2 linked regions of the Sus scrofa genome follow. The protein of the gene in region 2 binds, or shares a complex with, the protein of the main gene of each other region. Links are inferred from orthologs where the notes say so. Each region holds a gene or a part of one and is shown on either strand. Other genes may lie near its edges.

Region 1 (4,778 bases), on a different chromosome or scaffold from region 2:
TTACATATAGAGGAGAAGAAAATAATATATATGTTTTAATCAGATTAGTTTCAGAACAAATAAAATAACACATTAGAGAAAAAAATTACTTAAAAATAGTTGTATTTATATTCCACAATTTGCTCAAATACTGGTTTTCTTATAAACTTTCTACAGGATGTTTTAAAACAAATTCTTCACATTGTATCTTGACTATGTACTTACGGAATTTCAGGGAAATAGTTCTGTGTGTTTTAATAGCTTAATTTGTACTAAAGGGATGGCGGGTGGTCACATGCAGTCCATGTGGGATTCTAACATGACATTTAGTGAGTTTTCTGACGTGGACCATCCCTTTGATGCTGAAGGTAATGCATCTGTTGAAAGAAGTGATTGTAGATTTGGATTACTGCTCTCTGGATCTTCCAGTTTCTCTGTGTTATCTTCCCAGTTAATGTGGAATCTTGTGACTCGGGGATTTGATGCCAAAATATTCCTTTGAAGCTACAGGAAGAAGGAAACATATAAATGGTAAACGCTAAGAAAGTTAGATAACTATATACAAATAGACCTTAATAAGAATGGTTCTTTATTTAGTACTCCTAAGGACTAAGTTCACATACAGAGGCAAAAGTCAAAGCACCTTAAACATAACTAATAAATAAGGACCAGGGCTGCAGCAAGGAAATTACTCTAGCCTAAAGGAAACTAGATATGGAGGACCTGAGGGAATTATCCAGATCTTTTTCTTAATCCAACATAACATCCAACTCTATACTTGTTTCCTAAAAGGAAGCATATCTCTTGAATGCTTCAGAGGAAACTTTATTTAACAAATTAACATGCTTTCTAGCTTGATGTTGTGTTTCTTCAGTAAAATTTCCAAGGAAAATGAAAAATTTTTCCAAATATAACCTCTCATTATTAATGGTTTTCTACCTTTTAATTATTATGGCTCCTTCTTAGAAACAGTACTCTGGTTTCTCCTTTTTGCTGTACAAGGAGTCATACAGGTAACTAATAAATTAGAAATGGAAGGTTCCTCTCATCAGAATACAAAACATTCCAGCCTTATTACCAGAAAGGAGAACATTCCATTCTACTCCCATGTAATTTTTCTTGCGTGGTCTGGCAGAGGGTTATGTTCAATCTCACAAAGAACACCAGTTACTAAACTATTACAGTTCCCAATAGAAAATCATAAAGTCCCCAGTATTTTTGAGAATACTAAATCACAGACTTCACCTTCCCTCTCAGAAGCTAAGCTGTTTTACCACCAGAAGTATTTAAGACCTTTAGTTTCACCTCTAAGAATAACAGATAAAGCAAACATATAGGTATACTGAGATAAAAATGCTCATACAAAAAACAAACACAACCCCACCCCCCAATTTTGGGAAGAGTTAACACACAAAAATGTTAATTGAATAATCAGTACAACAAACATGAATGTGAATGTCCTAAAAATTGAAATGGATAGATTCATGATGTATGGGAAATTCCATTCAGGGAGCCATTAACAAAGGCCTGTTTCTAATAGGAGGTGCTTTCAATTTTCTAAATCATCAGAGACTCTCAAGGTGCCTAGTCAATATTAATCAGTAATGTCTAATCTGAAGGTATGGTTTGAGGTCATACATGGTAATGGAACAATGATTAGTTTGCTCAGTTGGTACAATGACCTCAAATTTATTTTGTCTCAAAGCCACTTTCATAGTGTACTTTGAAATGGCAACTGCTTAAAACATTGCATTGTAAAATTAATGAAAGTAATAATCAATACATTACCTTAGAAAAGTCTGGTTTTACAGGCGGATTTTCCCTTAATTCTGTCTCGGTGTATTCATTATTTACATAATAACCAACTCTAATAAATTCTTGACCTCGATAGGTGCATGTAATTAGCACAACTGTTACACCTACTGCATCTGCATCTGGAATGAGTCCTGGATTAGGTGCATCAGCCTAGAATAATTTAAAAAGAAAAGAAATACACATCACAGGAGGCTATTCACTGCAAGCAAAACTGGAGTTCTGGTTAAAACACTGAGCACCTTCGGTTAGGGGCACAGTAACCAAAAACTTAGAAATCATCCTGAGAAGGCACATGTTCACTTTTTTTTTTTTTTTTGGCTTTTTAGGGCCACACCCATGGCATATGGAGGTTCCCAGGTTAGGGGTCCAGTCGGAGCTGTAGCTGCCAGCCTACACCACAGCCACAGCAACACAGGATCCAAGCTACGTCTGTGACCTACACCACAGCTCACGGCAACGCCAGATCCTTAACCCAATGAGTGAGGCCAGGGATTGAACCTGCAACCTCATGGTTCCTAATTGGACGTGTTTCTGCTATGCTACGACGGGAACTCCACATGTTCATTTTCGAGACTGATTATAGCTAGAAAACATAGTTCATGTTTCTCCACAGTATACTGAAGTACCCTGGGTACTTGAAAACATCACTACTTCTAGAAGAAAATAAATCTGGCTACATACAGTCTATGGTGGTTCATGAGGAATTATACAATATTCAATTATAAAACCTTTTATAAAATACAGTAAACAAATCAATAGTCTTATTGATTCCAACCCTTCCTAGTCATAATTTTCAGATCTAAATTAGTAAATATTCAATTATCCTCCACACAGCCTTTTGGCAGCAAATGTTGATTGTCCAATTTCCCAGGACACATTCTCACACCCACTCACCCAACCCTCACAGATATTCTCATAGTAAATTAATGTAAAACTGAAAATGGAATGGAAATAGTTACATAGTATAGCAGATTGTCAAAAAATACTAAATCACATATACTATGGAAATTCACTGATGGTAAAGTTTGTTTTAGGCAGAGGTAATCAATGATCCTGTTCTGAATCAAACTGCTGTAAGCTGAACTGTGACAAAGGCAGGAGGTGAGGCAAGTGAGCTAGAGGTGGCTGAGAGCATGAGCAGCACGGGGGCCCTGTCCATAGCCATGGGCAAGACAGTGAGGACACTGGTTGGAAGGAGGCACAGACGGGACAGGCAGTGACAGTGAGGCATCTGAGCACAACCCAAAGAGCCATTCTCAGTGGTAGGTGCTTGAAGCCCCAGCAGATCGGCTTACTCTTACTAGGGCACCAAAGCACATCCACGGGACAAGCCTGGGTAAAGACTTCAGCCAATGCCTTAGCTTGGGAAGGCTCCTGGCTGGCCTTCTCAGTCAAGCCATTTTCGTAACAGACTAGTGACTGCTATATACCTACTACATGTAGGGGACCTAAAAAGGCATAAATCATCTACCTAGTCACCTAGACTAAAAACGTCTAGTGAGTCTTGACATCTGTCATCTCAAAGCATAATCCAAGTCTTCATCTCTTATCTGGAATATTACCAAAGCTTCCCTACTGCTCTCCCCCAGCTCTAGCCAATTTATACAGCAGCCATCTAAACCCAGATCCATTCCTATCCCTTCACCAGGTTTTAAAACCTCAGATTCTGAGATAAAAATTTCACTTCTTTAACGCTTCTAAGGCCCTTTACAACTGGTCTCCAACCAATACCACACCCCTTTTACGCCACATCTCTTCTTCTAGAAATGTAGGTTCTTTAAAATGTAGTGATAGTCTTTCCTGTCTAGCATATACTGTTCCCTTGGCCTGAAAGGTCCTTTCCTAACATTCTGAAAAATTCATCTTCTGAAGCTTTCATCAAATATATGCCTCTCGGCAAAACCCTTTCTAATTCAAAGGTATAATTAATAGCACTCTTTATGCACTCATATTACTTGACACAAATTCTCTACTAATGTATGTCTAACAATCTAAATATGTTACCCTTCAATCTTCTCTGAGATTCTAGGCTTTATCCTGGGCAGGAGTCCTATCCAGTTCATCTTTGTAATCACAAGTCTGGCATAGCTCTAGGGACAGAGTATTTGTATTCTGAAATTCATTCAGAACTCAGTTCCTACCCTGACATGGTTTATGACCTCTGGAGAGATACCAGAATGGGGACAGAGGGCCTGTCCTGAGAATATGCTATCTGTCTTTGGGTAGAGATGGGAAATAGAGTTAGTTCAGTACGGTGGGAACTTTCCCCCCATATTGCTTCCCATCTGCTCAACAAACTCGTCCGAGGCTTGTTTGTGTTTTAAAATTTGTTTGCTAAAGGATGCAGCTTGAGCAAATTCAAGGAGAGAATTTGCAGACGTCTCAGATCATTTAGGATGGAGAAGTGATAAGCAGAGATTTTTCACTCCAACAAGCAATACTAGTTAGATGTCCAGGCACCTTCCTGCTAGCCTCTTTACACACTCAGGAGAAACGCATGTTCATCCTGAGAGTTAAAGTCATGGAAGAATAGGAGAATACTATGGTAGTTTGTTTAAAAACATGAAACAAAAACTATTTTAGTCCCTTTCTGCTGATAATGGTGAATTTTAAAAAATGCATAAGCTGAACATATGATCTAAATCACACACAACTTCCTCTGTACTTTTGGCAACATCTGCACAGATACCAAGGTAAAAAAAATCACTGGAAAATCACCAGAGGGAAATAATTTTGAATAATATTTTTCCTACAACACTCCAAGGCAAAAGCTGAGGAGTATCCTTAAACACATAGAAGAGATTCTTTAAGGGCTTTTTCAAAAACATGGCATTTATTTGCAACACTTCTAGCAGCATCAAAAGGTATATCACTACATCCCCAATTAAGTTTCTTACATCATGAATTACTACCTGTGAATTACAGGTTCTCCAGGCTTGTGGGTCAAAGCAAATACTACTTCTTTATATAACAATTTCAGGACG
Region 2 (5,734 bases):
AAAATCCAGTGTAATAAAACAACACCAATACCTTTTCATGAAGTTTTTTTCTGCATGTCTAAGGAGTTTTGACAAAAAGTGGCATAGAATCTAGATATATCCTGTTAGTATCCTCGGAACAGACCCATGGGAAACCTCTCCCATATGAGAAGGGGAAAAGCATATACTCCCATAGAGATACCTTCAAATGTACTGCTAACGGACTGGAACCACTGGGAGGATTTAAAAGTTCACTGGAACCATGAATCAAGTCTTTTCCCCTTCAATGTATCCGTATGGTCCACCCAAACTGCACGTACGTTTTTAAATGTGTTTAAAAGAGACTATGATCAGTGGTCATTACCATCGTTTTACTTACCTTACTAACACCAACTCCAGTAAACCTGGCCTCTAATAATTCCTGCCTTCGGGGGTCCAGGCTATGCAATTCTTCCATCATTTCTACTGAAAAAGAAAAAGTAGGCTGTGAGAACATAAAAGTTAAAATATGAGGAACCCATTTTTAGATATAACAAAACTCACTATTTTGTTGAGTGGTCACATCAGGTTAACCTCCAGTAAATATAACATACAAGTGAAAAACTACAATGAGCATATTAAATAATACATTTAAAGTTGTAAAGTGGCTCAAAAGTCCTCTTCTGAGGGTCACTTATTTTATCTAGTTCAGATTTGATTTAAACAGCAAAAAAACCCCTCCAGTCCTTCACAGAATGGCTGTAAGAGTTGAGCAAGAACCAGCTTATAAAAGAAAATTTTTTCTATCAATCTTTGAATTTAGGTAAGTACTTTCAGATATTTTTTTCCCAAACACACAGGAACTAATTCTTAACCTAAAAATATGAATCATTAATAATAACTTCAAAATAATACAGCATGAATCAGAAGCTACAAATAACTTCAAATAACGCTTTTATATACCTCCTTCCTCTGAGGAGCCCACAGTTGCTCATGAAAAAGGGAATTAATTATTCCAAATTTAATAGAGATCCCATGGTAAAACCATAACCTGCATTCACTCAGGAAATTAGTGTAGCTTCATAACCATCCCTTTACAAAATGTGCCACTCCCTGGAGCAGTAGGTTTCTCTAGACATCTGCTTTTAGCACTCCTTCCAAGCAGGGAGGGGCAGAAGGACACCATTTTTAAACTCCTTCCATGACCAATTAATGCACAGGCTAACTCTCAGCAAATACCTCCATCGTTTGCAAGAGATCAACTCCTGCGGAACCCATTGGAAACCTTTCTAATGTTAAAAGTGGAAAAGGAGCATATACCATTACATAGAACCCCTCCGAACATATCATTAGCTACTGGAATGACTGGCATGATAGAAAAGTTCCCTGAAAACATGAATTCAACATTCTCCTCTGCAATCTAACAACTCCACAATTTCCAGTAACAACCCCTACAAAGTCCTCCAGTTTCATTTCCCTTCCTGGATTGAGAGCCTGGGGCAAAGGGGAATGAAAAGGGTAGCAAATTAAAGTTTCACCCACACAAACAAGTGCAGATTAGAGAGAGAATAAGGAAATTTTCGGAAGGGTAAAAAGGCATCTTTAAAAAGAAAAACAAAAAGAAAAAGGAAAGAAAAAAAGGAGATTCAAAGTGTTTCCCCTAAGTGGCCTTCCGAGTCTCGCCCTGCCCTAATCGAGGCCGGAATGGCAGAGGTTGAAGCCTCCCTCAAGCCCCAGGGTCTCTCGGCACATTTCCTAAACCTCCATCCCCAGGCCTGGCCCGGAAAATGACGCCCCAGCGGTTATTCCATTTAATGTCAACTCATGTTAAGGAAAGATCCACACTGTCTCATTCCAGCGGGGCCTTGGACTGGAATCCTCCCTGCAGCCCACAGCCGAGAAGCAGGGCCGATGGGGCCTGGTCCCGGCGCCCCTCGCCTCCCGCCGGTTCCAAACTTTCCCCAACTCCAGGCCCACCTGTCACGGAGGGAGGGCGGGCCAGCTCTCGGGGGCGCCCGGGAGGCTGCCGGGGCCTCCAGCTGCCGGGGCGCCCCCCTCTTCCCGCCGGCCGCCGGCCCCACTCCCAGGCCGGGGCCGCTTGGGCCTCCCCCATCTTCGGCCCGGCCCCTCGGCGACCCGCAGCCCTCGGGAAGCCCCTCCCGCCTCCGCGCCGAGAAGCTGCGGCCCGGCGCCGGCCCTCGGGTGGGCCTGGGCCGCAACCTCCTCAGCCGAGGGGGTCGCCCGGACGGTTAATGCCTCAGGCCTGGCGCCCTCCCCCGCCCGGGGCTCAGCCTCTCACCTGCCGCCGCCGCCGCCGCCGCTCCACGCTCCTCCCGGGAGGGGCCCCGACCCGACCCGGCTGCGGACCGCTCTGCACTCCCCCTGGGCAGGCCCGGGGCGGAGCCGGGGCCTCTCCTGAGCGCCGCAACCCCCCGCCCGGGCAGCCGCCGCCGGCGCCGGGCTCCACGAGAGGGCGGGCGGGGGAGGGGGGCCTCGGAGGCCGCAGATCCCCGGGCTCGCGTACAGAGCCAGGCGCCCGACGCGGGCCCGGGCCCGGGAGGCCGCGGGGGGCGCGGGACCGGCCTCCTGGCGCCGGACAAAGGCCAAGGGAGGCGCAGAAGAGCCCAGGCCCGGTCGGGAGGTGGGGGCCCGCTCGACTAGGGGCCACTCGGGTGCGGCGTGGAGGGCGGGGGGGTCGGAACCGCTGGTGCCCAAGACCCGCCTCCGGCCCCTTAATCCGGATCGGTTCGGTCCGGATTAGTAGTGATCGGTGTAAACACACTAGTGAAACCGCGTGTTTCCTCGCGAGATTTGCACGGCTGGGAGGCGGGGGGGTCCTGGGGGGGTGGGGGAAGCGCCGACAGTGGGGGAGGAGGGGGAGGGGAAGAGGAAGGTGGGGGGGGTCCCCGCTGCCCCGGCGCCCCGCCTCCTCCAATCAGCGGCCGGGTTGGCGGGCAGGGGTTAACCAGGGGACCCCGCGCCGGCAGAGGAGGCCGCTGCCTCGCCGGGCGGCTGAGGGCGGGCAGGCAAGCGCTCCAGCCAGAGTGGCTGCGACGCGAGGGGAGTCGGACCGGCCCGGGCCGGAGTCCCAGAGCCCCCGCCGCCGTTTTCGTAAGGTCGGCCCCCGCCCCGCGGAACTGGCCCCAGTCGAGGCGGGTGGGCCGGCACCCTGGGTCGCGGACCGGCGTGGGAGGGCCCTCGCCGCCTGAGCTGGTTGCTTCCCCGACCCGCCTCCCAGAGCCCGGCGTCCGCCTAATCCCTGGTCTCCACGAGTTTGGGTGAGAAGCGGGGTTGCTCTGCCCAGGATGGATTTTAGAGGAAGAAAGCCCATGAGCCAGCAAACCCCGCCCGAACTTCCCCGGAGACGCCCAGTTAGTGAGTTGGCTGTGCCCACCGGTGTTGCCTAGCTCCCACGCCCCGCCGCTCTCCAACCCCACAGTCCTGCTCCCCAAACCCACATATGCCGCCATCGACAGCGGACAGCGTTTCCCCTCCACGTACCTGGTTGGCTGGACGTCTCCAGGGACTAGAGGTGCCCTGGGATCAAGGCTGAGCCCCCACCCCCACCAGGATGCGGCCCTGCGGAAGGGGGGGCGCTGCCCCAAAGGGACTCTCTCCGTACGCCCTGGGGGAGGTTCCATTTCAACCTCTGATTAAAAACAAGGCCCTCCTGGGTACTAAGGGGCTCTAAGGGGAAGTGCTAGGTTGGAGAAAACAGGCCTGCCCCTCACAGTGTCTTCTGAGGAATGGGCAGTGTGAAAGGGCGCAGGAGCTGCGGCAGCCAGAAGGCTTTCTGCACTGGAAAAGGCTCCCACTCTGATCACCCAGCACTAGAGGAAAGAAATCACATTCACCGATTGTATATGAGCCGGGACACTGACTTCAAGGCAAATACCCAACTTTTTATTCTCCTCTGATGCTTCCTTAATCTGAAGATGAGTTAAGGACTACAAGCGAATCACAAGCGGAAAATTCAGATAATGAACAAGAGCCTTGAACTTTTCTGGGGGGTAGGCAAGTACTTCAAGTGAAGTACCTGTTTCTGCCTTTTTTTCTTCCTTATTCTTAATTCTGTCCATTCTGTGTTAATGGAACACAGACCTACTGAAAGGGCAAAGGATGGCAGTTTATTTTTTGTTAGTTGTCCAGCCTTCCAAGCCCTTGGGCAAATTCAAGGACTATGGAAACACCACTCAACCAAGAGTCACCTTGCTTCAAATCCCACGGCCAGGTTGGGCCGTGCACACACATATTTCCAAAGATAACAGTGTTTGCAAGGGAGGGGGAGTGCAAGCTCCAGGCAGAGGGAAGGAGGAGGACAGCCTGGTGGACAACTATCGAGAGCAGGAGAACCAAGAAGTAGAGAGTGCACCTTCCCTTACCCTTGCTTACACAAAAAGAAAAGCAAGTGAGGCAAGTTCTGCCCTATGGTGAGTGATGAAGAAAGTAACTCCTTTGTAAAGTAAAATGACACTGGAATGTTTCAAATGAGGAGAGAAGAGTTTAAGAGAACACTGGACAGAGTCAGAGCAGAGTTCCAGCCCAGCTTCTCCTCAGACAAGCTACTTGGTCCCGTTACCTACACTTTTCAAGCTTCACCAACCTCATCTATGAAGGAGTTTGGACTAGAGGATTTGAAACTCCTTTGTGGGTCTAAAAGGCTATGATTCCACCTCCCACCCCCCATTTTTTGAAATAACTTTAAAAAATAAATCATTGGAATACAGGAAAAGATGAGATTTTAAGTTTCACTTTGTCCAATGCATTCTTCTCTGCATGTCAGAGAACTTACGCTGTCATAGGTCTGACCACAGCCCGACTCCAGACTTAACTCATCCCAATTGGAATTGCTCATAGGAATTTAATGAATTTGCTTACCACAAAAATGGAGTGCTTCTATTTATGAGCATTCTATAAGTGAAAATATCAAAGTGAGGGGAAAAAACAATGGATAATTTCAAAATAAACTGTTACTGTCAGATGGTTCTTTTCACAAAGTGATTTAAACTTGGATTCATGAACCAACTCATTTAAAGTGTGTTTGGTCACGGGGCAACTTTGTGAGACTCAGCTGGTCATGGACTGGCAAATGGTGACATTTACCATGCAAAGGCCCAGTTCCCTTCAGAGAGCTCAAAGGCGGATTCATCTAGAAGATGTGCACGCTGATCATCTGGTCCTCTCTGCCTTCAGGGTAGCGAATGACAAGTCCTCCAGGCTCATGTTTGTAGTCACAGAGCAGACCAGGGAGCCGGCCAGACATGCCTCAGACTAGTTCTGGTGTCCCCAAGCTGTTCTCTGCAGGTCACAGTAGGTCACAGGCTGGAGTTCCCTTCATGGCTCAACGGTTAACGAACCCACATCGAAGTTACAGCTGCCGGCCTACACCACAGCCACAGCAATGCAGGATCCAAGCCACATCTTCGACCTACACCACAGCTCACAGCAGCGCTGGATCCTTAACCCACTGAGCAAGCCCAGGGATTGAACCTGAGTCCTCAGGAATGCTAGTCGGGTTTGTTACTTGTTGAGCCACAATGGGAACTCCCTTGACGTCTCTTAAAGAAAGCATTACATTTGGGGTGGGAGTAGGTGAGTAGAGGAAAATGTAAAAGGCATCTGGTCTGTTTAATCTTCTTCCTTTACCCTTGAGAATGGAGGGGTTTTTTTTAAATAATTTTTTTTCCATTATAGCTGGTTTACAGAGTTCTGTCAATTTTCTACTGTACAGCATGGTGATCCAGTTAAACATACATGTATACCTTCTTTTTTCTCA

What was found. Proteins that work in one complex are often made in the same cells at the same time.
Region 1: the proteins of TLK2 (region 2) and ASF1A are in contact, whole or in part, in a crystal structure (PDB 7LO0), measured with the Homo sapiens proteins. The link is inferred for Sus scrofa from reciprocal best matches to the Homo sapiens genes TLK2 and ASF1A. Residues at the interface, in NP_001271262.1 of Homo sapiens: Arg11, Arg12, Gln13, Leu15, Leu16, Glu17, Arg19, Phe20, Thr21, Gly22, Val23; in NP_054753.1 of Homo sapiens: Val45, Ala48, Glu49, Glu51, Asp54, Asp88, Val92, Thr93, Val94, Leu96, Arg108, Gly110, Tyr111, Tyr112, Arg145, Thr147, Phe149.

The regions. Positions count from the first base shown.
Region 1 is NC_010443.5:43,201,628-43,206,405, forward strand, and holds part of ASF1A (histone chaperone ASF1A), read right to left. Parts: intron 1,945-4,778; coding exon 1,768-1,944; intron 484-1,767; coding exon 271-483; 3' UTR 1-270. UniProt on the Homo sapiens protein: Histone chaperone that facilitates histone deposition and histone exchange and removal during nucleosome assembly and disassembly.
Region 2 is NC_010454.4:16,252,809-16,258,542, forward strand, and holds the start of TLK2 (serine/threonine-protein kinase tousled-like 2), read right to left. Parts: upstream 3,835-5,734; 5' UTR 3,460-3,834; exon of another isoform or gene 3,168-3,459; coding exon of another isoform or gene 2,211-3,167; intron 2,039-2,210; exon of another isoform or gene 1,936-2,038; intron 445-1,935; 5' UTR 440-444; coding exon 359-439; intron 1-358. Other genes in the region: uncharacterized protein LOC110256160, read left to right, coding at 2,211-3,167. UniProt on the Homo sapiens protein: Serine/threonine-protein kinase involved in the process of chromatin assembly and probably also DNA replication, transcription, repair, and chromosome segregation. Phosphorylates the chromatin assembly factors ASF1A and ASF1B.